2 linked regions of the Oryctolagus cuniculus genome follow. The protein of the gene in region 1 interacts with the protein of each later gene in a biochemical or structural test. Links are inferred from orthologs where the notes say so. Each region holds a gene or a part of one and is shown on either strand. Other genes may lie near its edges.

What was found.
Region 2: of the proteins of MYB (region 1) and NLK, one has a biochemical effect on the other in vitro, tested with the Homo sapiens proteins (2 studies listed by BioGRID, with this or other methods). The link is inferred for Oryctolagus cuniculus from reciprocal best matches to the Homo sapiens genes MYB and NLK.

What each region holds. Positions count from the first base shown.
Region 1 is NC_091436.1:33,733,632-33,745,433, reverse strand, and holds the start of MYB (transcriptional activator Myb), read left to right. Parts: upstream 1-6,470; 5' UTR 6,471-6,606; coding exon 6,607-6,629; intron 6,630-8,089; exon of another isoform or gene 8,090-8,214; intron 8,215-10,803; coding exon 10,804-10,921; intron 10,922-11,802. UniProt on the Homo sapiens protein: Transcriptional activator; DNA-binding protein that specifically recognize the sequence 5'-YAAC[GT]G-3'. Plays an important role in the control of proliferation and differentiation of hematopoietic progenitor cells.
Region 2 is NC_091448.1:43,849,141-43,859,328, forward strand, and holds the end of NLK (serine/threonine-protein kinase NLK), read left to right. Parts: intron 1-3,530; coding exon 3,531-3,729; intron 3,730-4,639; coding exon 4,640-4,733; intron 4,734-6,748; coding exon 6,749-6,803; 3' UTR 6,804-7,740; downstream 7,741-10,188. UniProt on the Homo sapiens protein: Serine/threonine-protein kinase that regulates a number of transcription factors with key roles in cell fate determination. Positive effector of the non-canonical Wnt signaling pathway, acting downstream of WNT5A, MAP3K7/TAK1 and HIPK2.

The sequences.
Region 1 (11,802 bases):
CCTCCACGGCAAGGGTTTTCAAGCTATGGTTCACCATCCACAAACAGGTCATACAAACAACTTGGTGCTCCTCACCAGGAGGAATAGAATAGGGTATCGGATTGCGTGGTTGGTGGTAAAGGGTAAGTATCATTTTATGAAACTTTTTCATCCGTGTGTGTGTATGTGTGTTTGTGTGTTGAGATAGTATGTAGGATGTGTTTCTTATTGTGAGTCACAGTCAAAAATGTTTGAAAGCCACTGCCTAACAAACACTTTTTCACAAAGTAGATGAAAGCCCTTTTCAATCAGCTGACAAAATACAGGGTTTTACTAAAAGAATAAAAAAAGGCATTTACTTCTTTAAGTCTAGAAAACCTTCTCTGCTTTCTAACAGATCTCTCCACCCAGCCTACGTTTCTACCCCATGTCTTAACCTCTTAAATATTCTCTAGTAACAGATTTTCGTTTTTTTGCATTTTTTGTTTTTTGTGCATATTGTTGAGCTCTTGGTATAGAGTTGGTCTTCTGTGCATAAAGTTAATTGTAAATGGATCTTAGTGGAGAATGGGACTGGCAATGGGAGAGATAGGAGAAGGAGGAGTGGGAGTGTGGGTGGGAGGGTGGGTATGATGGGAACAATCACTATATTTCTAAAGTTGTACTTATGAAATGCATGAAGTTTATACTGGTAGCTTTGCAAGGGAAGATGTGTTACACGCCGGACACCTTGCATATACTTCTTAAATAAAAGGTTTCTTTGGGAAAAATAAATAAAATAAACACATAAATAAAAATTAAAAATTAAAAAATTCTCCAGTTTCCTTGGCCATCTCTGTATATAAATGTACATTAGTGGGGCCGGCGCCGTGGCTCACTTGGTTAATCCTCCGCCTGCGGCGCTGGCATCCCATATGGGCACGGGGTTCTAGTCCCGGTTGCTCTTCTTCTGGCCCAGCTCTCTGCTGAGGCCCATGAGGGCAGTGGAGGATGGTCCAAGTGTTTGGGCCCCTGCACCCGCATGGGAGACCAGGAGAAGCACCTGGCTTCTGGCTTCGGATTGGCGCAGCGCCGGCCGAGGCAGCCATTTGGGGAGTGAAAGAAGACCTTTCTCTCTCACTGCCTATAACTCTGTCAAATAAATAATAAAAAAAAAGTATATTAGCAATTCTATGATACAGTACAATTATCACTTTTATACAAATAAAACCTATATATAGCACTTATTTTTTAAAAAAAAAATTGATTTATTTGTTTGAAAGGCAGAGTAATAGAGAGGGAGGGAGGAAGAGAGAGAGAGAAAGGGAGAGAGAGTGTGTGTGAGAGGGAGAGGGAGAGACAGAGAGAGATCTTCCATTGCTCATTCACTCTCCAAATGCAGAGGCTGTGCTAGGCCTAAGTCAGGAGCCGGGTGCTCCATACTGACCTCCCTGGTGGGTGCACTTGGGCCACCATCTGCTGCCTTTCAGGTGCATTAGCAGGAAACTGGGTCAGAAGTGGAGGCAAGACCAAAACCCATGGAATGTGGGTGTCCCAAGGCGTGGTTTAACCCATTGTGCCACAATGCCCAGACCCATACAGTATTTACTGAATGTGTTACAGCTAAATGTTTAACAATAGGTCTCCCATGGGGAAACAACCCCTGTTTGTAGCATTTGCCACTTTTGTGGTGTAAATGCTCCAAGAATAGGCAATTTCAAGCTACTGTCACTGCTTGACTGATGCGAAATTGGAAGGCAAGGCCCAATAGCTCATACTATATGGCACTTCCACCACACAGATGTAGTAGACACACAACCTCAAGTGCACAGATAATAGGAAAAAAATATATATGTATATATATATATATAAAAGGAAGTGATGAGGTTTGAATGTCTTTTTTAAGAGAACTTATTGAGCCGCATGGTTATACACTTGGTGTTTAATAATGGCCACATGTAACAACCAGCTCACAAGCATTTGCTATGCACAATGCTGTCCTGGATCAGCCTCCCGGGCAAGCTCTGTTCTCAACGCCGTCTACCATCTGCTGAAGAACTCAACCCAGAGCTCTTCCATAAGAAACCACAAGCCTAACACACTGAAATCTACATGCACTTTCCTCTTTGAATCTGCTCCTGCACACTTCTCTTCCTCTCCTGACTTCCCTATTTCTATTAATGGTGCCTCCAATATCCATCCGATCAGTTGCTCTGAGCAGCCCTCTCCTTTTCATTCCACTTAGGGTTGCTGCCATAGTCTAGACCAGCTAACTGGCCCTCCCCTTCGGCCTCTTTTCACTCCAATCTATGGAGCACGCCTCTGCCAGTATAGCCCTTCCATGCTACACACACATTCATCAGGCCTTCACAGCTCTCTGCTCCAGGCCATCTGGACAGCTCCGTGTTCCCTGTGCTTGGAATACACCTTGCGGTTCCTGACTGTGTGCTTTTGCTCACACTTTCCCCTTCCTCCGAAATATCCTTCCCTTGTCATGGACGCCTCCCCTGTACTCACATGACAATGAAAATAATCCCAGCTTCAACTCTGATCAGAGTGCCTGGGTCCAGCTCCTCCGCTTCCAATCCACTTTCCTGCTAATGCACATGCTGGGAGGCAGCAAGTGAGGCTCAAGGACTTGAGTCCTTCCACCTGCTTATCATGGGAATATATACATGATGAGAATCTGCAGAGTGAAAACAAGCAGGAAGTGCCAAATCACTGAAACATCTAAAGCTAAAAATGCATTTGCTCACCCTCTCTTCTGGGTGCTCTATGAAACATATTCCATTAAAGTAACACCCCATTGCTGTAACTAAGAGCTTTGCCAGAAGTCACCATGAGGTTACTCTCAAACCTACGGCTTTCAACCACACACGCTACAGCCATTCTTCATGAACTGAAATGATCAGGAATTATGGATCCTTTAACCATTTGGTGCTTGCTGTAATTACCTTCCTCTTAATGCCCTGAGCCAACAGGGTTGAAGGGCTGAGGGAAAGGCAGGTGGTAGAGACATGGAGCCCTTGACCCCTGCTCTGTGGTCACCATTGATAATTCTCATTCACTTTCAGGATGAGGATCACAGATATTAAGGATCCTCCACAGGCCCAAGATTTCACTGCAGTCACAAACAAGCTGAATTTGTGTCTTTTGTATGTCTTTCTCCCTTAAGCCTTCCACAATCTTCAGAATCACATAAAATGCTTCAAGTGCTGGTTTTCTGGAGGGGGAGAGTCATAATGATGATTCACAAAGCACCAAGTGATTCCTTTTCTTTCAAGTTTCAGTTATGAAGCTGATGTTTTGCAGAAAAAAATAAAGACAATAGGTTACCACAGCCCTCTGGGCACCGGCAGCATCTCCCTCATGGAGGAAAAGGATTTGGGGTTAGGGAGAGCCCAAATCCTTCACCCAGGAGAGGTGAAAAAGATTGAGGTAGGAGAAGGTGATGGAAGGCACCCAGCACTCAGCTACCAACCCTAACACTGGGGTTATTAACAAGTGGTCTAGGGATCTCTTCCATGAAAACCATATGGGTACTTGTTTAGAATTCAGATTTGGAGCAAGCATTTGGCACGGTGGTTAACATGGCACTTGGGATGCCCTCATCCCTAACAGGAATGCCTGGCTCCAGCTTCTCCATTTCCAGGCCACCTCTCGCTAATGCACAGCCCGGGTACCTGCAAGTAATGGCTCAAATGCTTGGGTTCCTACCACCCACTTGGGAGGCTCAGATTCAGTTCCAGGCTCCTGGCTTTGGCCTGGCCCAGCCCTGGCTGTTGTCGGCATGTGGAGAATGAGTCAGCAAGTGGAAGACCTTTCTCTGTGATTCTCTTTCAAAGAGAGAGGGAAAGAGAGAGAGGGAGAGAGAGAGAGAGAAATTTGAAAATTTGAAAAAGATTTTTGGGCCCCACCTACTGAATTAGTCTATGGGGACAGCCTGGGTCTACGCTTTTTCATGGCTACACCCAGGGATTCTGATATACAATGAAGATCAAGGATTACTGTTCTAGTGTTGGCCAGCTAAAGCTTGCAAGTTCTATACAGCTATCAACTTAAAAATAGTGTTTACATTTTTAAAAGGTTATTGGAAGAAAGGAAAAGAAAGAATGAGAGGGAGAAAGAGAGATATGGAACAACCCACAAAGCCCGAAACATTTACTACCCAGCCCTGCACAGAGCAGCTCGCTGACTGTTGTCCAGTGCATCACAAACACAAACCTTTATTGGAATTTAGCTCCATCCCAGCCCTGCCCCAGTTTAGGTAACTGATGCAGCAGATCTTTTAAAAAATAAAATGATAAAATATGCAAAATTGGCATCTAAACTGTAAATGAAGTGGAGGCAGAGGTGAATTCTCATAACTTCCATAAACTTAACAGATGGCAGTATGTCACAAAGTAGCATAATTAAATGTCTGCATATATATTCTTTATTGGAGTACGCATGTTCCAAGCACATGATCGCCACACAACCAAGGGAAAAACGTAAAGCTATGCTCCCTTACTATCTGGGGAATGAAAATGCAACCATTAGAAACTCTCAAAACAAGGCATAGAAGAACAATGCTCAAGAGGAATGAAGGAAAATGGAATTCAGTGTCTTTCTACATAACAAGAGTTTCAGCATCTTAGAGCAGGTCCCCTGCCAGAGAATCTTGGGAAAGAGGCTGTGAACTCTCAACAGAAAGGGTTTGGATAGTCGCACTGTGTACAGGACGCCCAGCAACTGGGGCTCTTGCCAGATAGAATCAAGAAGACATCCCAAAGCCAGAATACAGTTCCTCCAGGGGTAGTTTCTAGATGTTTGTTCTAGATATTTTTTTAAATGTTGTTTATTTTTTATGTGGAGAAGGAAACTTTATTATAGGATCTAGAAATAAATATTGGCTTTAAAAATACATTAACTTGAAAGTGACATGTCTTTGGGAGTTGTGACCTGAACTATCTCTCAGCACTGGTCTCAGTGTTTTGGGTTGTTTGTTTTTTTTTTTTTTTTCTCACGAAGAAAGGAATGTTAAAACCTTACTAGAAACTAGCCTATGTTTGATAAGGATTTCAACTACATAACAATTTTTAAGAAACAAAGTTTAAAACACTAGATAAAGTCTTGAAACCTAGCATGCTTCACCATTTAATAAAATTATGACTCATTTTAGTAAGAACATGCTTTTTTTTTTTTTTTTGGTAAGAAACCTGCTTTCTGAGCTAAGTTTGAACGGTGGGGCACATGGGACACCCACAAACCCCGTCAGCAGAAGTCTCAAACTCCTGAAAGATTAAAGGAAAAATAAATTAGTGTGTACAGAGAATGAAAAAAAAAAAAAAACCCCAATGGTACTAATCTATAAGCGGAAGTAAAACTAAAACTCCCCTAAAATCCCCCAATCACCAATCCTTATAAATTCGGCACTTCTCTGCTCCTTCGACTTCTCCAGCAATCCCCCAGCTAACCGAACACCAAAGTCTCTGCTGACTTGCAGCTGATAAAACAGAGTTCTCCCACCACCCCTAGCACGGACCCCGACCTCTGTACTCACAAACCGTGTGCTTTTAAAGCCACGCATGCAAACGCGGGGTTTCCAGAGCGCTGCCGCGGGCGGGCTGTTGGGGACCCCGTGCATTCCTTCGCAGGTGCGTACCCCAGGGCGCGTACGGCGCTGGGGCGCAGGTGTGCGGTGGGCGCCCGGGTGGGTGGGGCCTGGCACGAGCCGGGGCTTGGGAGCTGGGGGCTCCTGACCAGGGACGGTAGCGTTTGGGCTGCGGGATGCTGGAGCGGAGGGAGAGCTCGGCTGGGGGGATGCTCCATGGGTGCACGGTGATAACCCCGCTAAGTGTTCCCTGTCACAAGTTTAATGAGATGTGTTCTGTATTAAAAGGGACCTGGCCAAACTCCCTCAAGTAAACACAGGTTGCCTTGCCTCCAAGTCTTCCCCCTCTAGAGAACCGAGTTGTAAACCCTACCTGAAAGCCAATCCCAATCAAATGCGGGAGTTGCCCCCACCCGCGACCCCTTGCCACCCAGGCTTCAGGTGCCCGGGAGCACGCCCGGGGGGCGACCGCGGTGCGGCTACCGAGGAGGAAAGGAGGCGGCTTCCGCGGGACTTGGCGCGGGCCAGCGCCGCCACGGCCCGGGAGCGGGGTTTGCGCAGGAAAAGGCGCCTCGGCCGCGGCCCCGGGCGCCCCTCCCCGGCCCCGGGCTCTCCGCCCGCGCGCCGCCCGGGCCTCACCGCGCGCCAGGCACAGCGCGGCGGCGCGAGCGGCGAATGGGAGCGGCGGCCCGGCGGGCCCCTCGGCCCCGCGGGCTGCAGCCAGGGCGACCGCGGAGGCGGCGGGCAGGGCGCGTGCGCACTGCAGGGGCGCCAGATTTGGCGGGAGGGGGAGTGTCCAAAGCTCTTTGTTTGATGGCATCTCTGTTTACAGAGTTTACACTTTAATATCAACCTGTTTCCTCCTCCTCCTTCTCCTCCTCCGCCGCCTCCACCTCCTCCTCCTCCTCCTCCTCTTTCTCCTAAGAAACTTCGCCCCGGCGGTGCCCAGCGTCGCTGCGCAGCCGGGGAGGGACGCAGGCAGGCGGCGGGCAGCGGGAGGCGACAGCCCCGTGCGGTCCCCGCTGCTCTCGGCGGAGCCCCGCTCCCGCCGCGCCATGGCCCGGAGACCCCGGCACAGGTAACGGGGAGCCTCGGCGGGCGACGGAGGGCGGGGACCCGCGGGGCGCCCGGCGCCCCAGAGCAGGTGGGAATGGGTTCTGGGATCCTGTGCGGGGCTGTCAGATCCCGGGCAGACCTGGAGCGCCTGGCTCGGCCGCGGGAGCCCCTGGACAGACTGACGAATGCAGAGTCTCTGCGGGAACTGTACTGGGACTTCGGGAAGGAAGCACGCCCAGCGGCTCCGTGTGCACGCTGCACGGGGATACGTTTCTCTTTCGGGGGGAAGCAGGGTGGTAAAGGAGCAGGTTCCAGCCGGGTGCAGAGCGGTGCCCCCCGGCCCCGGGGAGCCCAGCGGGTGCCGGCGAGGGGGCGCAGCCTAATTGCTGGATGCATGGAGATGCGTTTGGGGCTTGGAAGCGCAGAACATATGGCAGACACGGGAAATGCTGGATCGTTTATAGCTGCAGGTAGTTTATTTCAATTTCATTCATTCTTTATGGAGGCCGGGGCGAGTGTCAGCTGACGAGCGGCTGGAAGGAAGATTTCAGGCTAGCACGGGGGGCTCCTCGCTTGCAAACTGTTGAAGCACAGGTTGGAAGGCTCGAGGCGTTATTCCTAGGGAAGCGTTTATTTCTGTTGCAAACTCTGCCAGTGCACCCACGCGCCCGCTCCGCACATGTCCCCCGCGCTGGGCAGGCGAAAGCCCAGGGCGCTTTGGCCGAGGAGGGACATATTCGTCCGAACTGTCATTTGCTGGCCTCAGCTGCCACCGGCCGCGGCACCTCCCCGGGCTGGACACGCCGGGGCTCCCTGTGAGCCACCGCTGCCGGGGCTTAAGCCGGGGCCGTCGTGGTCGCCACGAGACCGACAGCACCCATGGCCGCTGCCGCGCAACCGACGCGTTCCCCGCCGGCGCTTCCCGGGGGCCACGGGTCCCAGCGCGGCGCGCACACGTGGACGCCGTCGCTCGGCGGCCGGCGCCTGAGGTCGCCTGTGCCGAGGCGCTGCGGCCCGACGGCCCCTGGCGCTGGACAGAAGTCCGGGGAGGCAAGGCAAGACCCACCCGCTCTTCCTTGGGTGCTCTGCTTTGCTGTCTCTTACTGCTTTTGGCTGCTCGCGCGGCGCTGGGAAGTTGCAGAGAGCGTGGGCGTGGGCCCTGCAGGAGCGCCCGGGCCACGCTGGCGGGGAGCAGCGCCCGGGCGCTGCCGGGCGCCCGGGGGCGAAATGGGCGACTCGGGGTGGGGGATGGGCTGAAGAGGACCTCGGGGGACTGGGTTTCACCTTTCGCCTTTGGGACTTAGCCGGAGAGCACCTCGGGCCACCTGCTTTCCGAGAGCAGAACGGGCATTAGGAGGAGGAGGGCGCCGGGCGCCGGGCAGGGGAGCCTGGAGGAGGCGCGGCCGAGGCTCCGCGCCCCGAGGTCCCTGCTGCCCCCCGCGGGGCGGGGCCGCGCAGGTTCCCGGCCGCTCCCAGGTAGCCCGGAGGGGAGGCGGCCGGGAGGGGCGGGAACCTTGAACCTGCCTCAGGGGGAAGAGAAACCCGGCTGCGGGCTCGGAGCCGTTTCTTGCATGGCGAGCGTCGACTCGGCCGGGATTATTAACCAGGTCAGCGAAATGAGTCTTAGCCCCTATTCTAGAATCACAGTGGCGGCCACAAGGCACTTCCTCCCGTACCCTCCCTCTTCCCAGCCACCCCCCGACACCTCTTTTCTTTTTCGTTTCTTTGCACGGTTTGTTTCCTTGACAGAACGCAGTATTCATAGTTGTACTCCGGTAACCACACCGGGTCTAGCAGGTGGGGGGAGTCGGGTGCACGGAGCCTCCTGTAAGCCTTTGAACGTCCTCTGACTGTTGGCTCCGAGACCTCGCCAGTGCAGATAAAGGAAAAGTTATTTCAGGCCCTGAGGAGAAATTAATCATGCTACCGAGGCGACAGAGAACCCTGCGAGCTAGGAAGTCGCCTGCAGAGAGAGCTCCAAGGCGGGAGCGTCCGCGCCCAGCCGGCTGATGCGGGACCCCCGAGCCGACGACGGCCTGGGCAGCCCGGACTCTCCCTGCTGCCCTCGGGGCCCCCTCAGGCCCCGCCGAAGTCACAGCCCACGACCTCCGCGCGACCTCGGGTTTGCACATCTCTGCCTCGGTGCGCGGTCTGCAAGAGTCCCGGAAGACGTGGAAGCATCATTTCTGAGCGCTGGAAAGTACCTTAGAAATAGGATCCAAGCCCTTGTGCACAGGCGAGGAACACAGGCCCCGAGAGAGAGGAAGTGATTTGTCCAAGCCACGCTGCAAGGTGGAGGCAGAGCTAGCGCCGGCCGGCCTCCGGAACCGGGTCCTGGCCCAAGGCTGTTTGCCCTCACCTGTCCTTGGCTGCCCCCTGTGGGCGGCCGCAGGTGTTGCTTGTGCCCGGGTCGCTGAGCTCAGTTCTGCAAATAGGATTTTCAGATCCAGCCAAACCTAAAAAGTGACTTTGGCTTGAATCTCTGGCTCCACTTACAGATTGCTGTGGTTCTCCTGGTGTTCCTGGTATTTGACAAGGGGATAGCTACTGCATTTGGGGGTGCATAAAACGGAGTTGCTAGGGACCTTTCAAAACTGACTTAAAGCTCCCAGCTTATCGCAATTGGGGGAGGGGTCACTGTGTTTACATGAAAGAAAAACGTGTAATTATTATTGGTCAGAAGTTGTTCAGTACCTCGTGTTCAACGTGCGAAACCGCAGTAGGCTCTTCTTTCAAAAGATCACCCCTATATAAAAGAAATTATTTCAGATTATAAATATAGTTCAGTATACGATGTGTTTGTTGCTTGGCTGGTTTAGTTTTTTGGTACTTAAATTTGACTAAGTACTAATTTAAGTACTAAGTACTTAAATTTGTTTCACAGTGCAACCTGAGCCACCTGATGTTGTCCTAAATTCTAGTTAGAAACTATTTGAACCCCTAAGCCAGGGTTTTGGGTGAGTATTTTTGCTTGACCTGTGGGACATTGGCAGTATGCACTCATGAGTAGTTTGGGAAGATAAAACCTGAAACAAATATAAACCTCCTTCTAAAAAATAATAAACCACATTATGATGTTACTTTAGATCATCGTTTTTATTGGTCCCATTTCAGTGGATTTCTCAATATTACAATGATAAATTTTCTAAGATTAGTATAATTTTTCCTATCCTAAGTTTTATTAGAAAAATTATAGCTAAAGCTAAACCATCAAGTTACTCCCATCTAGTTAGTATACGATTAATAAACATTGAGTGTAGGGTTGCTTCAAAAGTCATCAAAAGTCTTGATTTTAGTCAACTAGGTAAAGGAAAAGCTCTTTTGAAAATGGTAATGGGTTCTTTTTAAACTCATCGACTTCTTCTGCGTGAATCCCTTAGTTTTGGGTAAGGCACATTGTAAGATATTTCAAACACCGTTCCATCAGAGACAGAAAAAAGCACAGGTGTGAGATTCAGACTATCAGATGACTTCATCATTCACTTAGTTACTCTGGAGATGGGGTATTGTAAACAAGACCAGAGCCTGGGTCAGCCTGGCCCAGAGCTTTAAGAATTGGATATTGATGTCATTTACCGTTCACTCCCTTGTCGGTCGGTCTACCCTTCCTTGGGATTAAAATCCCTTTTCTCTTAGATTCTCCTAATCTTCTCATCTTTAAGAAATGACTGTAATTATGTTAGTGGATATATTACTTCTCAAAACTTTTTTTTGTTTGTTTAGTAGAATGCCAGCCCTGTTGGAGTAACCTAATTGAGTTGTTTATTGTGTTTGAGAAATACCGTTTAAATGATGTGACATATGCCTGAGATTTCGAGTGTGTGCTATAGAAAGGACATGGGCTCTTGTTCCTTTTCTTGCCCTGAACATTAAGATTTAAACGGAAGCCTTCATTGGTTGGAAGGTGGCCAGATGTGTCACTTGTCGCTGGTCTAGCAGTAACAGCAGGTTGAAACATGCAGAGGAATAGGCAAGTGCCAGATCCTTCACCGTATCTGTGGATACCAACAACAGCAGAGCCAGTTTCCAATACCAGAGCAACAGATTGCAGAATGCAGTCTTGTGGTGCGAGTTTTCAGAGTTTCATCTCCATAACCATTGGAAAGATGACTGAGGAGCCGTTGTGCACATTTTGAAATCCAGTAGTTCAAACCCTCTGGTTTCAGCCCTCGTCTGCCCCCTTCTTATTTCCGCAGCATTTACAGTAGCGACGAGGATGACGACGATATTGAGATGTGTGACCACGACTATGACGGGCTGCTTCCCAAATCCGGAAAGCGTCACTTGGGGAAAACTAGGTGGACCAGGGAAGAGGTAACGAATCACTTTATCAGAACATGAGGCGGACGCAGCGTGTGTCATTTAGGAAACACAAGATTTCAGCCAAGTCACAGGTGTCCAAACTCCTTAGCAAGCTCTCTGAGATCCTGTCCCAGCCGGCCCGTGCAGCAGGCAGCCCTCACCACTCTGCCACACGTCCATTCCCAAGCTCTTTCTAGTTCTTTGAATGTCCTCTTCTTGCCACTTTCTGCTTCCTCTGCGCTTCTGTCCACCTGCCAATGTCTCAACCTTTAGCCCCTCCAGGTCTTACTGCTTCTTCGGGACCCATGAACGCAGGGCCTCTTCCGTGAAGCCAGCCGTGGCTTCCTCAGATGTCTCAGCCTGCGGTCCCATGCTGTTGGCTCCCTGTCTGCCTTACTGTTGCTGTGACCCATCTGCCTCTCTTAGGAGACTGCAAGGCTCTTGAGGGCAGCGCTAAGTGTCTCTTCCTCTTTATGTTCACAATGGCTTGACACAAAGTAGAATGCCAATACATGTTCCCTGAATGAATTGTTATTTCCCAAAACTCAGCAAACAAACGAAGAAAACGAAACATTGAAAAATCGTCTCGGTATAATATGCTCATTTAATATCCTTCATGTATTTCACAGAGCGTCCAGTAATGAATGCACATGTATTTGCTTCCCACTCTTCTTTCGCAACAAGCTCACCAAAAGCTTCATCTTTCGATCTGATCCCAATTAGTAATGCTTGAGGAGGGGTTTCTTCTTCTTTAATGCTGTCAGTGAATTTGCAACTAATTTTAGAGGATTTCTTGTTAGAATAAATGGTATTAACTCTTCTTCAGATCCATTGCACTGTACTTCATTGAAACCAGAGCCCCTCCTGACACGAGTCAGGGTTCCCTGGGAGTC
Region 2 (10,188 bases), on another chromosome or scaffold:
CAGCAGATGGAAGACTTCTCTCTCTCTCTGCCTCTCCTTCTCTCTTTGTGTAACTCTGGATTTTAAATAAATAAATAAATGTTTACAAAAAAATGTAACATCTTTTGTATGGTTAACAAAACTAGAGCCATAGGAAACTTAAGCTTCAGAGGTAATTTCTCTCTGCCTCTAGAGGACTTTATAAAGGTCCTAGGGTTAACATTTACTTTTTTTTTTTTTTTTAAAGATTAATTTATTGGGGTTGGTGTTGTGGTGTAGCGAGTAAATCTACTGCCTGTGATGCTGGCATCCCATATGGGTGCAGGCTCATGTCCCAACTACTCCACTTCTGATGCAGATCCCTGCTAATGGCCTGACAAAGCAGTGGAAGATGGCTCAGGTACTTGGGCCCCCGAACCCACCCTGTGGCCTAACCCCAGCCATTGTTCCCATCTGGGGAGTGTACCAAAGGATGGAAGATGTCTTTCTGTCTCTCTGTCTCTCCCTCTTCTCTCTGTAACTCTGCCTTTCAAGTAAGTAAATAAATCTTTGAAAAAATAGCAAGGCTAAATAGGTGCAGGCTGCGTAGCACAGGTTAAGCTGCTGTTTGAGATCCCATATCAGGAAAAAGGAGTTACAAGAGAGAGGGAGAGACAGAGAGAGAATGAGAGGCCCTCTATCTACTGGTTTATTCCCCAAGTAGCCGCATCTGCCAGGAGAGACTGGAACTCCAAGTGGGTGGCAGGGGCCCAAGCATTTGAGTCATCAGTCATCTACCACTGCTTTTCCCAGGCCATCAGCAGTACATTGGATCAGAAGTGGAGTAGCCAGACATGAACCACTGCCCATATGGGATGTCACAGGTGGCAGCTTTATTTGCAATGGCAGAATGCCAGCCCCTCAGGGAAAATTTTTTCTTTTTTAAAGTTTATGTATTTGGCCCTGCGCTGTGGCGTAGCAGATGAAGCCGCCACCTACAGTGCCAGCATCTCATATGGGCACCTGTTTGAGTCCTGGCTGCTCCACTTCCAACCCAGCCCTCTGCTATGGCCTAGGAAAGCAGTGGAAGATGGCCCAAGTCCTTGGGCTAGTGCACCCACGTGGAAGACCCTCAAGAAGCTCCTGGCTTCTGATGAGCACAGCTCTGGCCATTCCAGCAATTTAGGGAGTGAACCAGCAGATGGAAGACCTTTCTCTCTCTGCCTCTGCCTCTCTGTAAATCTGCCTTTCTTTTTTTTTTTTTTTTTTAAGATTTATTAATTTATTTGAAAGTCAGAGTTACACAGAGAGAGGAGAGGTAGGGAGAGAGATATTCCATCTTGATGGTTCACTCCCCAATTGGCCGCAATGGTCGGAACTTTGCCAATCCGAAGCCAGGAGCCAGGAATTTCTTCCGGGTCTCCCATGTGAAGGCAGGGTCCCAAGGACTAGGGCCATCTTCTACTGCCTTCCCAGGCCCTAGCAGAGAGCTGGATCAGAAATGGAGCAGCTGGGACTAGAACCAGCGCCCACTTGGGATTCTGCCACTTCAGGCCAGGGCGTTAACCCGCTGCTGCATAGCACGGGCCCCTTAAATCTGCTTTTCAAATAAATAAATAGATCTTTTAAAAAAAAAAGTTAATGTATTTATTTGAGAGGCAGAGCCACAGAGAGAGAGAGGGAGAGACAGAAAGGTCTACCATCAGCTGGTTCACTCCCCAAATGGCTGCAACAACCAGAGCTGAGCCAGTCCCAGGCCAAGAGCCAGGAGCTTCTTCCATGTCTCCCAGGTGGGTGCAGGGGACCAAGTACTTGGGCCATCCTCCACTACTTTCCCAGGCCATAGTAGAGAGCTGTATCAGAAGTGGAGCAGCCAGGACTCGAACCAGCACCCTTTTGGGATGTCAGCACTGCAGGCAGCAGCCTTACTCTCTACGCCACAGTGCCAGTCCCCAAGATTATTGTCTTAACTCACAGTCAAAGTTTTTTGAAATCTTTGGGTTTACCACTTCAGCAAGAAAAAATTTCTAAAATGCCAATATATTTAATCCTTGACAAAGAGTATTATTTTCAAGTCTTTGAAATTTTTTGTCTTCAATATACTGAAAGCAAATTGGAACAGATTTGATGTTAAGAAATCTCATAATATGGTATATTGACTCCCTACAGAAGTATACAAAGTACATCAGTTTGTTTACCTAGAAATATTTCATATTTGTAAAATGGAAAGTTTTATCAACTTTTATTCAAGACTAAGGGAGCCAATTCTGATAAAGCAACAGAGCACAGGATAGAAAAAGGTGTCCGTATCTATTACAAATGTTGAACAGTTAAAGAAACAAGATATTCACAATGTGTAATTAAGATATATAATATGCAATTAAGTGCCATTAGGTCTTTTAGAACACCATTATTAACCATCTGAGTAATTTTGTGATTTCTTTCTCAATTTAGCAAGAGAGTCCTTCCTGTCAGTGATATCACATTTTGTAAAATAACAGCCTCCTTTCTTTGGCCTTGTGAGGTCCTAAAGAGGTGTTAATTTGTTTAGAGACATGGAGGTTGATCATTGCCTGCCAGGAATCTGGTTTACTTTTTGTTCAAAGGTTTCTCTTTGGTAAAACACTTTGGTACACATAGAACACATAGAGCATAATATCCATAGTCAGGGAAAACACTAAAATCTTTTCAACCCTACATTCTCAAATTTCAGGAAATACCAATCTGCAGACAAAAGAAGCTAACACAGGAAGCAGACTCCAGCTGCTGGTGCCAGCTGACTGGGACCCAGTGTCTGACATCTGCCACCTGATAGAAATGACTTAATGGTCAGATGATAAAGCGCAGATTTAATCACCATTGCCAATAGTGTGAGCAGCTGGCAGCATGTTCAGTCACAGATTTGGCCAAGGACCAAATTTAATGTACAGAAAAGCTAGAGAACTGAGTCCCACAGGTGTGACCAAAGAAGCCAAGGAAAGGGGAGCTGACCACCAGAGGGGTTCAGGACCAGGTCTGCTGCTCTGTTAGTATACTTGTTTCTTTGGGTTTAAATGGGGGAACTTTATCCCAGTGATTTCCTATCTCTCCAGGAAGACTTGGACTTTTTAAAGGAAAAAAACTTTGCTTGCTGTTAGTGCAAGGGAGTCAGGCTTAGAAGGGCTGGGTCACCAAACATATTACCCACAACCTAACAAATAGGTAATGGCAGTAAAGGAAAAAAAACAAGGTCACCAAGCTTACCCTTGTAGGTTCATGGTGGATAACCAACAGCTTTGTTTTATCTTATCCTGAAAGGTCATGATATAAGCATGGTAGGAACTCAATTTTAGTAGAAATACACATGTAAGTGCTTTATGGTGGTATATGCTAACAGTAGTTTGTCATCCTAAGCTACATGCCCCCTCTATTTCTATGTTCACTTTTAAATTCAGTTATCCTTCTTTGCCTATGATATACTATAAATTAAGTGTAAACTATGTAAAGCAATTTCTGTGTCTTGTGAAATATCTTGTGTGGACAGTCATATTTATCTGTAGTGTTGATGTGCTGGTCTCTAAATTTGATTTCAGTCTAAAAGAATATCCGCTAAGGATGCCTTAGCCCACCCCTACTTAGATGAAGGGCGACTACGATACCACACGTGTATGTGTAAATGTTGCTTTTCCACCTCCACTGGAAGAGTTTATACCAGTGACTTTGAGCCCATCACCAATCCCAAATTTGATGACACTTTTGAGAAGAACCTCAGTTCTGTCAGACAGGTTAAAGGTGAGTGTCTTTTTTGGCCTTTGGCCAAGCAAGATGACTGGTAACATTTTCTGTTATGTGCCTGTGAAGAGCTGAGAGCTGGATGCTGACCAGAGTTCCTCTGTATGTTTATTTTATTACCTTACTAACAACTGTGTGTCCAGGCAGATCTGTCAGGAAAGCTATGTGTGTTGTGCAAATGTTGATTTAATGTTGCATGGAGGAGAGGGTCAGGCAGAAGAATGACTGTTTTGTTCTTATTTTCAAAGTGGTAGTGAGTGTAACTCAAAATATATTTAATATGTATTCATTCTGTCATTTCATTAACTGAAATACTTGCCTTCTTTTTTAAAAGGATTAAAACCCACTGAGGGAATTATTCTTTGAATGATGCCTAGAGAAAGGAAATTCTGATAGTTTATTCATAAAATTTCATGGCATGATAGATAATCTGTTGAGATGGATGGAGTAGGTATAATGACATCCAAAATTCTGAATGTTTAAAATGTGTCTCTTCCAGGGCATTTAGAAGAGAGGGTAGCTCCCAAAGTAAACAACCCAAAACTATATACCTAAATACCAACTGAAATTTTTAAGTGATCTTGAAAAAGGTGATAATTACCAGCAGTTTAGAAGAGTTCACCCATTACACCAATCCTATGGAGTCTGAAATTTCTAGACTATTTTACTCTTTACATTGATGGGGTTCCAGTCTGTGTAATGCCACCCTTTAGGGTTTTGTCTGTATTTAGCAACAGCTGTCATTTTTGTTTCAGAAAAGTTCAGTTGTGCTCTGCTTGATAGCTGACCTGTGTCTTTGATGTAACTAAACCAATAGGAAATGCCATTCAGATGCTAAAGTTAGCTGAGAATCCACTGCTCCCAGGCCTGCAAATTAGCATGGATTAAATGATGTTTGTTTTCTCCACAGAAATTATCCACCAGTTTATTTTGGAACAGCAGAAAGGAAACAGAGTGCCTCTCTGCATCAACCCTCAGTCTGCTGCTTTTAAGAGCTTTATTAGGTAACTATATGTATGTATTTCTGACATTCTTATTAGAAGTTAAAAGATGTTGTGATTTTGTTACTCAGCATATTCCCGTTTTTATGTAGATTGGATAACATAGATAAAAGCTCTGACAGAAGCCATTATGAGCTTTGGCTATAGTCAAAGGTATATTTAAAATAGAAGCGTCAGTTTGCACGTTGATGCCAGTCCACGGTGGTTGCTGTGGCAGTTTTTCCCCAGGTGCGCATTGTGCTGCCTGATGATGAGCATGTGCATGGGGTCTTGCTGCAGCCACAGTGTGGCCACCACCTGCCTGGGGATTAACATGGTCATCTTGGTTCCCACTGCTGTTCCCACCCTAGTAATAATAACTGCAAGCAAGAAAATGCCTTTTTTAAAGGTGAGCTCCTCACCTGGCTTATTTAGAGGAGAAGCCAACAGGCTTATAGCAGAGCTATGAACCTGTTTGCATCCTAGCAAGCTTCCTTCTGTTTGTCCCTTTGTCCTGCCTTCCCTTGGTCTCTATATTAATCAGGGTGCAGTCAAGACAGAAACTGCTCCAGTAATATGAATGGGGAAAATTAAGTTACAAGAATCATTAACAAGATGGCTAGCTACTGAAAGGCATAAAAAGAGGATTCTGAAGTAGCAGATGCAGAAAGGAGCTACTTCTGTAGACTGAGGGCAAGTGAATGAGGAGGAAAGAAGATGCCCTCCACCAGGGAGTTCTTTGGAGGGAGTCTGTCTGCTACAGGAATGCACAGCAGGAGGGCAAGGAAGGAATGTCCCAGAAGGTGTGGGCAGAGGCCTGCTAGGTCGCAAAGAAAGTTGCCAGACAGTTTGGTAGACCAAACCTGGCCTTGCACATCAAGACAAAAAGAGAACGCCAGAATCAGAGGGAAGCTGCCTCCTGCTGTGTGTTCAGCCTTGCAGTGCCCTTCCAGCGCCATCTGTTGCCAAAGGCTAACATTAAGCCCCGTGGTAAGAGGGAGCCGAGAACAGTTTCTGGCTCCAGTGTCACAAACAGGACAAAGGGTGGATTTGGATCTGAGAAGCCACATAGTCTCCTTTTTTCCCCACCTGCCTTTCTCCCTCTCCCTGTCTTCTCTTTCCTTTTCATACATGATATTGAAGTGGTCTGAATTTGTTGAACCAAAGTAAAGAATTTTTGTTTAAAAATTGTGAAATGAAGTGACTTTCATTTCCTCCATGTATTTTTTTCTGTAGAAGCAAGGAATTAACTTCTATTTTTAACTTCTCTGTGATTTTAAATTACTTTGTTTTACTATTTTACTCTAAAACCAGAGACCCAGTCAGCCAAGTACAAATCATTTGTTATCCTTGGCTCTGGGGAACTCAAGTGGTTACCACCACCCCTACCACCCCTTCTCAGGTTTATAATCTAATTAGCAACCTGAGAGAATCATATAAAGTAACTAAAACAGATCTATGGATAACAAATGTTAAAGGATTATACCTCCTAGTCCATTACTGTTTGGTAAAAGATTGTTTATGACACACCTACAAAATAGGACTCCCCTGAAAGTCACCATATTTTGAGAGGCCACTTTTAAGTGGATAATTTTTGCATCCTTTAAGGTTATTTTCCTGATTTATAATAGATATTATTTAGAATAGCTACTACTAACATTATGCAATAGGCACCATGGAAAAATGCTTTACATATATTATCACAGCTATTCATCACAATATCCTGTGAGGCAGATAGCATTATCCTTTTCCAAACATAAAAAGATCAAGGAACTTGCTCAGTGCTCAACTTTAAATTATATGTTGTCTTCAGGCCCACGTCTTAGCCACCGTGCCATATCACCTCACTATAGGTAATGGACTCAAATGGACAATTTGCAGCAAATTTAACATTAAAGAAGTTAAAGAGACAAAAATAAAAATCCAGGAATGGGCTTAAAGTTTTTTAAAGGAAGAGAGGAAAAGACAGGCAGCATGGGGTTGCCCTGTTGCCTGCTGGAGTGTTACAGCTGATTTCACCATCTGTCCCTTTTTTCCAGTTCCACTGTTGCTCAGCCGTCTGAGATGCCCCCATCTCCTCTGGTGTGGGAGTGACCGTGGACGATAGTGTACTACTGAAGATGTGATGTAGCTTTCCACTGGAGTCTGGGATTTGCAATTCTGGAGGTTAATCATGCTTGTACTGTAATTTTACTAATGAAGTTTTAAATTAACAACCACTACTTGTATGATATGAATAATATTTAGAAATGTTACTAGACTTTTAATCTTGTAAAGTGGTTGTGCTTTTAGAAGAGAAATATTTTACCCAGAGTTGCACATGTTTTATGAATTTAGTGCAGCTGTTATGGCTCACCTCAGAACAAAAGAGAATGAACCAAATTTGGGAGTTTGGGGTTTTGTGTTTTTGTTTTGTTTTGTTTTGTTTTTCTCTTTTTAAAATGAAGTGAGATTGTTCACACACACAAACACACACACACACACACAAACACACAAAGGACAGTCATACTTTTTGATATTTGAGCCATTCCTAAAGATTTGGGGTTTTCTAAAACTAAAGAATCTAGAAACCTTGCCTGCGACCAATCATGGAGCCACAGGAGCTGATTGTGGCTGCACCTGGGGGGGAGGGTTGGGAGGAGGGGCATGCCACCGAATGATCAAGCCCTATGATTAGCTTCTCGTTAGAGCCGTGATGGTGATGTGTGCTGTCTAAAATCCAATGTTGTGGGTAGAGAGAATGAGTTTGTGACTAGGAGAGACTAAACTTTTGTTTTCCTTACCCAGTATAAATATATATATATATATTTAATCTATTTTTATTAGAAGTTTTTCTGCTCTTTCTTACATAAAAAACCCCAAGCATGCATCTTTCATGTGTGTAAATAATTCATTTCTGGGCTAATTTCAAAAGAATCCCAACATTGCTGTATAGAGAGAGAACTAGCTTGCACATTTTAGGTCTGTGAAATTTTGTGAGACTTTTCCTGCACTGGACAGTGAAAAATAATAAATAAAAGACAAAAACAAATTTTAAAAAATTTTAAAGCCACAAAAAAGGCACATAGGGGATTATGTCAAATGTGTTTGTGTCCTTAAGCAAAGCTGTGGGAGTCTTGAAATGTCACAGTAGTAAATAACTTATTACTTTTTGACAAAGTCTTTTTCCTGTTGGAACACTGAATTCTTGTGTGCATATGTATATATGAATACAAATCGAAGGCCTCTACCTCCTGGAGCTATACAACTTGGCTTGTTTACCTCCACATGCTGATGATGACTATTTTTTTTTTTTAAGTTCAATGTGGAGACTTGAAACTTGAATGTCCCTTCCAACTTTTATATTAAAAATAAAAAGACAAGAAAATTGAAGATCGTTTTTCACCTGTACAAGGAGTACTAATGGATCGTCTTAAAATTGGTCTAGGAAAAAACCTTGGTGTGTGTTATGGACAATTAACTGTTAAAGTTATTGTAAGTTATCTGTATTTAGCAGAGTATTTTCATCTTGAGTGATCTGAGCTGAATTTGAAGACTATTAATAAGTTATGTTTGGAAGTTTTAACTTCAATGAAGTAATTATTTGCTGTGAAAGAAACAAACATTGAATTACTAAACAAAGATGGTGCAATATCTTTGTTTTTTTTTATGAGGCTCCTGAGAATCAACCCAACTGAAGCATTTCAATTCACTTGAATGAGAAACGTGTTTAGTATCAAAAGAGCCCGAGAAGACACTGGTGTGAAAGGTACAATCTCAGAGGTTGGTCAGTTCCCGTGGCACACTTTCTGGTCACTTTGTACAATGTAGATTTGAAGTACAGTGGTGAAAACATTAAATGTGACATTTGAAAAAATGTGTCTTCTGTTTTATTTCAGTTTCTTTGCTTTGTTTATGCTTCTGTAAAGTACTTTGCTAAGTCTTGAGACATTTCCTACTTATATTTCCACTTGGGTTTCTGAGGAAATTAGAAATTTTCTAAAATTTCCCTGGAAGCTGAAGTGCCAAAAACATGTTGAAAACTTAGTTAACCAATATCAGAAACACTGTGACTAAGTCTGGAATGGCATGAACTTCTCCCCCATCCTCTCTTTTTTTTTTTTTTTTTTTTTTTGACAGGCAGAGTGGACAGTGAGAGAGAGAGACAGAGAGAAAGGTCTTCCTTTCTTCCTTTTGCCGTTGGTTCACCCTCCAATGGCCGCCACAGCCGGCGTGCTGCGGCGCTGCGGCCGGCGCACCACGCTGATCCGATGGCAGGAGCCAGGTACTTATCCTGGTCTCCCATGGGGTGCAGGGCCCAAGCACTCGGGCCATCCTCCACTGCCCTCCCGGGCCACAGCAGAGAGCTGGCCTGGAAGAGGGGCAACCGGGACAGAATCCGGTGCCCCGACCGGGACTAGAACCCGGTGTGCCGGCGCCGCAAGGCAGAGGATTAGCCTAGTGAGCCACGGCGCCGGCCTCCCCCATCCTCTCTTAATTTAGCAAAATGAATAGATGTTATTTTTCCTGATCTGGGAAACTCGACTGTTAAATACAAATGTGTGTCTTAGTTTACTCATTTAACAAACTTTTTTTTTAAGTTTCATCTGCTTTGTTTTGTTTTTAGGATTTTTTTAGGATTTTTATGTATTTACTTGAAAGCCAGAGTTATAGAGAGGCAGAGGCAGAGAGAGAGAGAGAAGTCTTCTATTTGCCAGTTCATTCCCCAAATGGCCACAACAGGCAAAGCTGAGCCGATCCAAGGCCAGGAGCTTCTTCCGGGTCTTCCCACACAGGTGCATGGGTGATGGTCCTTGGGCCATCTTCCACTGCTTTCCCAGACCACAGCAGGGAGCTGGATCAGAAGTGGAGCAGCTGGGACTCGAACCAGTGCCCATATGGGATGCTGGTACTGCAGGCAGTACCAACAGGCTTTACCTGCTATACCACAGCACCGACCCTATAAACCTTTGAATACTTACTAAGTGCAGGAAGCTATGCTACTATCAATGAATGCTTAAGTAAGAAAACCAGTTTTCCTCATTTAGGAAAAAAACATTTTGAACTGCACATATAACACGTTCTTTTTTAAAAGATTTTATTTATTTATTTGAAAGGCAGAGTCACAGAGAAGCAGAGAGAAAGAGAGGTCTTCCATCCACTGGTTCACTCTCCAAGTGGCAGCAACAGCTGGAGCTGTGCCAATCCAGAGCCAGAAGCTTCCTCCAGGTCTCCCACATTGGTGGAGGGGCCCGAGGACTTGGGCCATCCTCTACTGCTTTCCCAGGCCATGGCAGGGAGCTGGATCAAAAATGGAGCAGCCAGGACTAGAACTGGCGCCCATATTTGATGCCAGCACGGCAGGCAGCAGCTTTACCTGCTACACCACAGTGCCAGCCTTGACATACAACACTTTGAAACTGAAGTTCCTCACACATCAATAGAAGAGAAAATATATTGACCTGTTCCCACTGGAATCTGTCTAGTAAACCAAGGAATT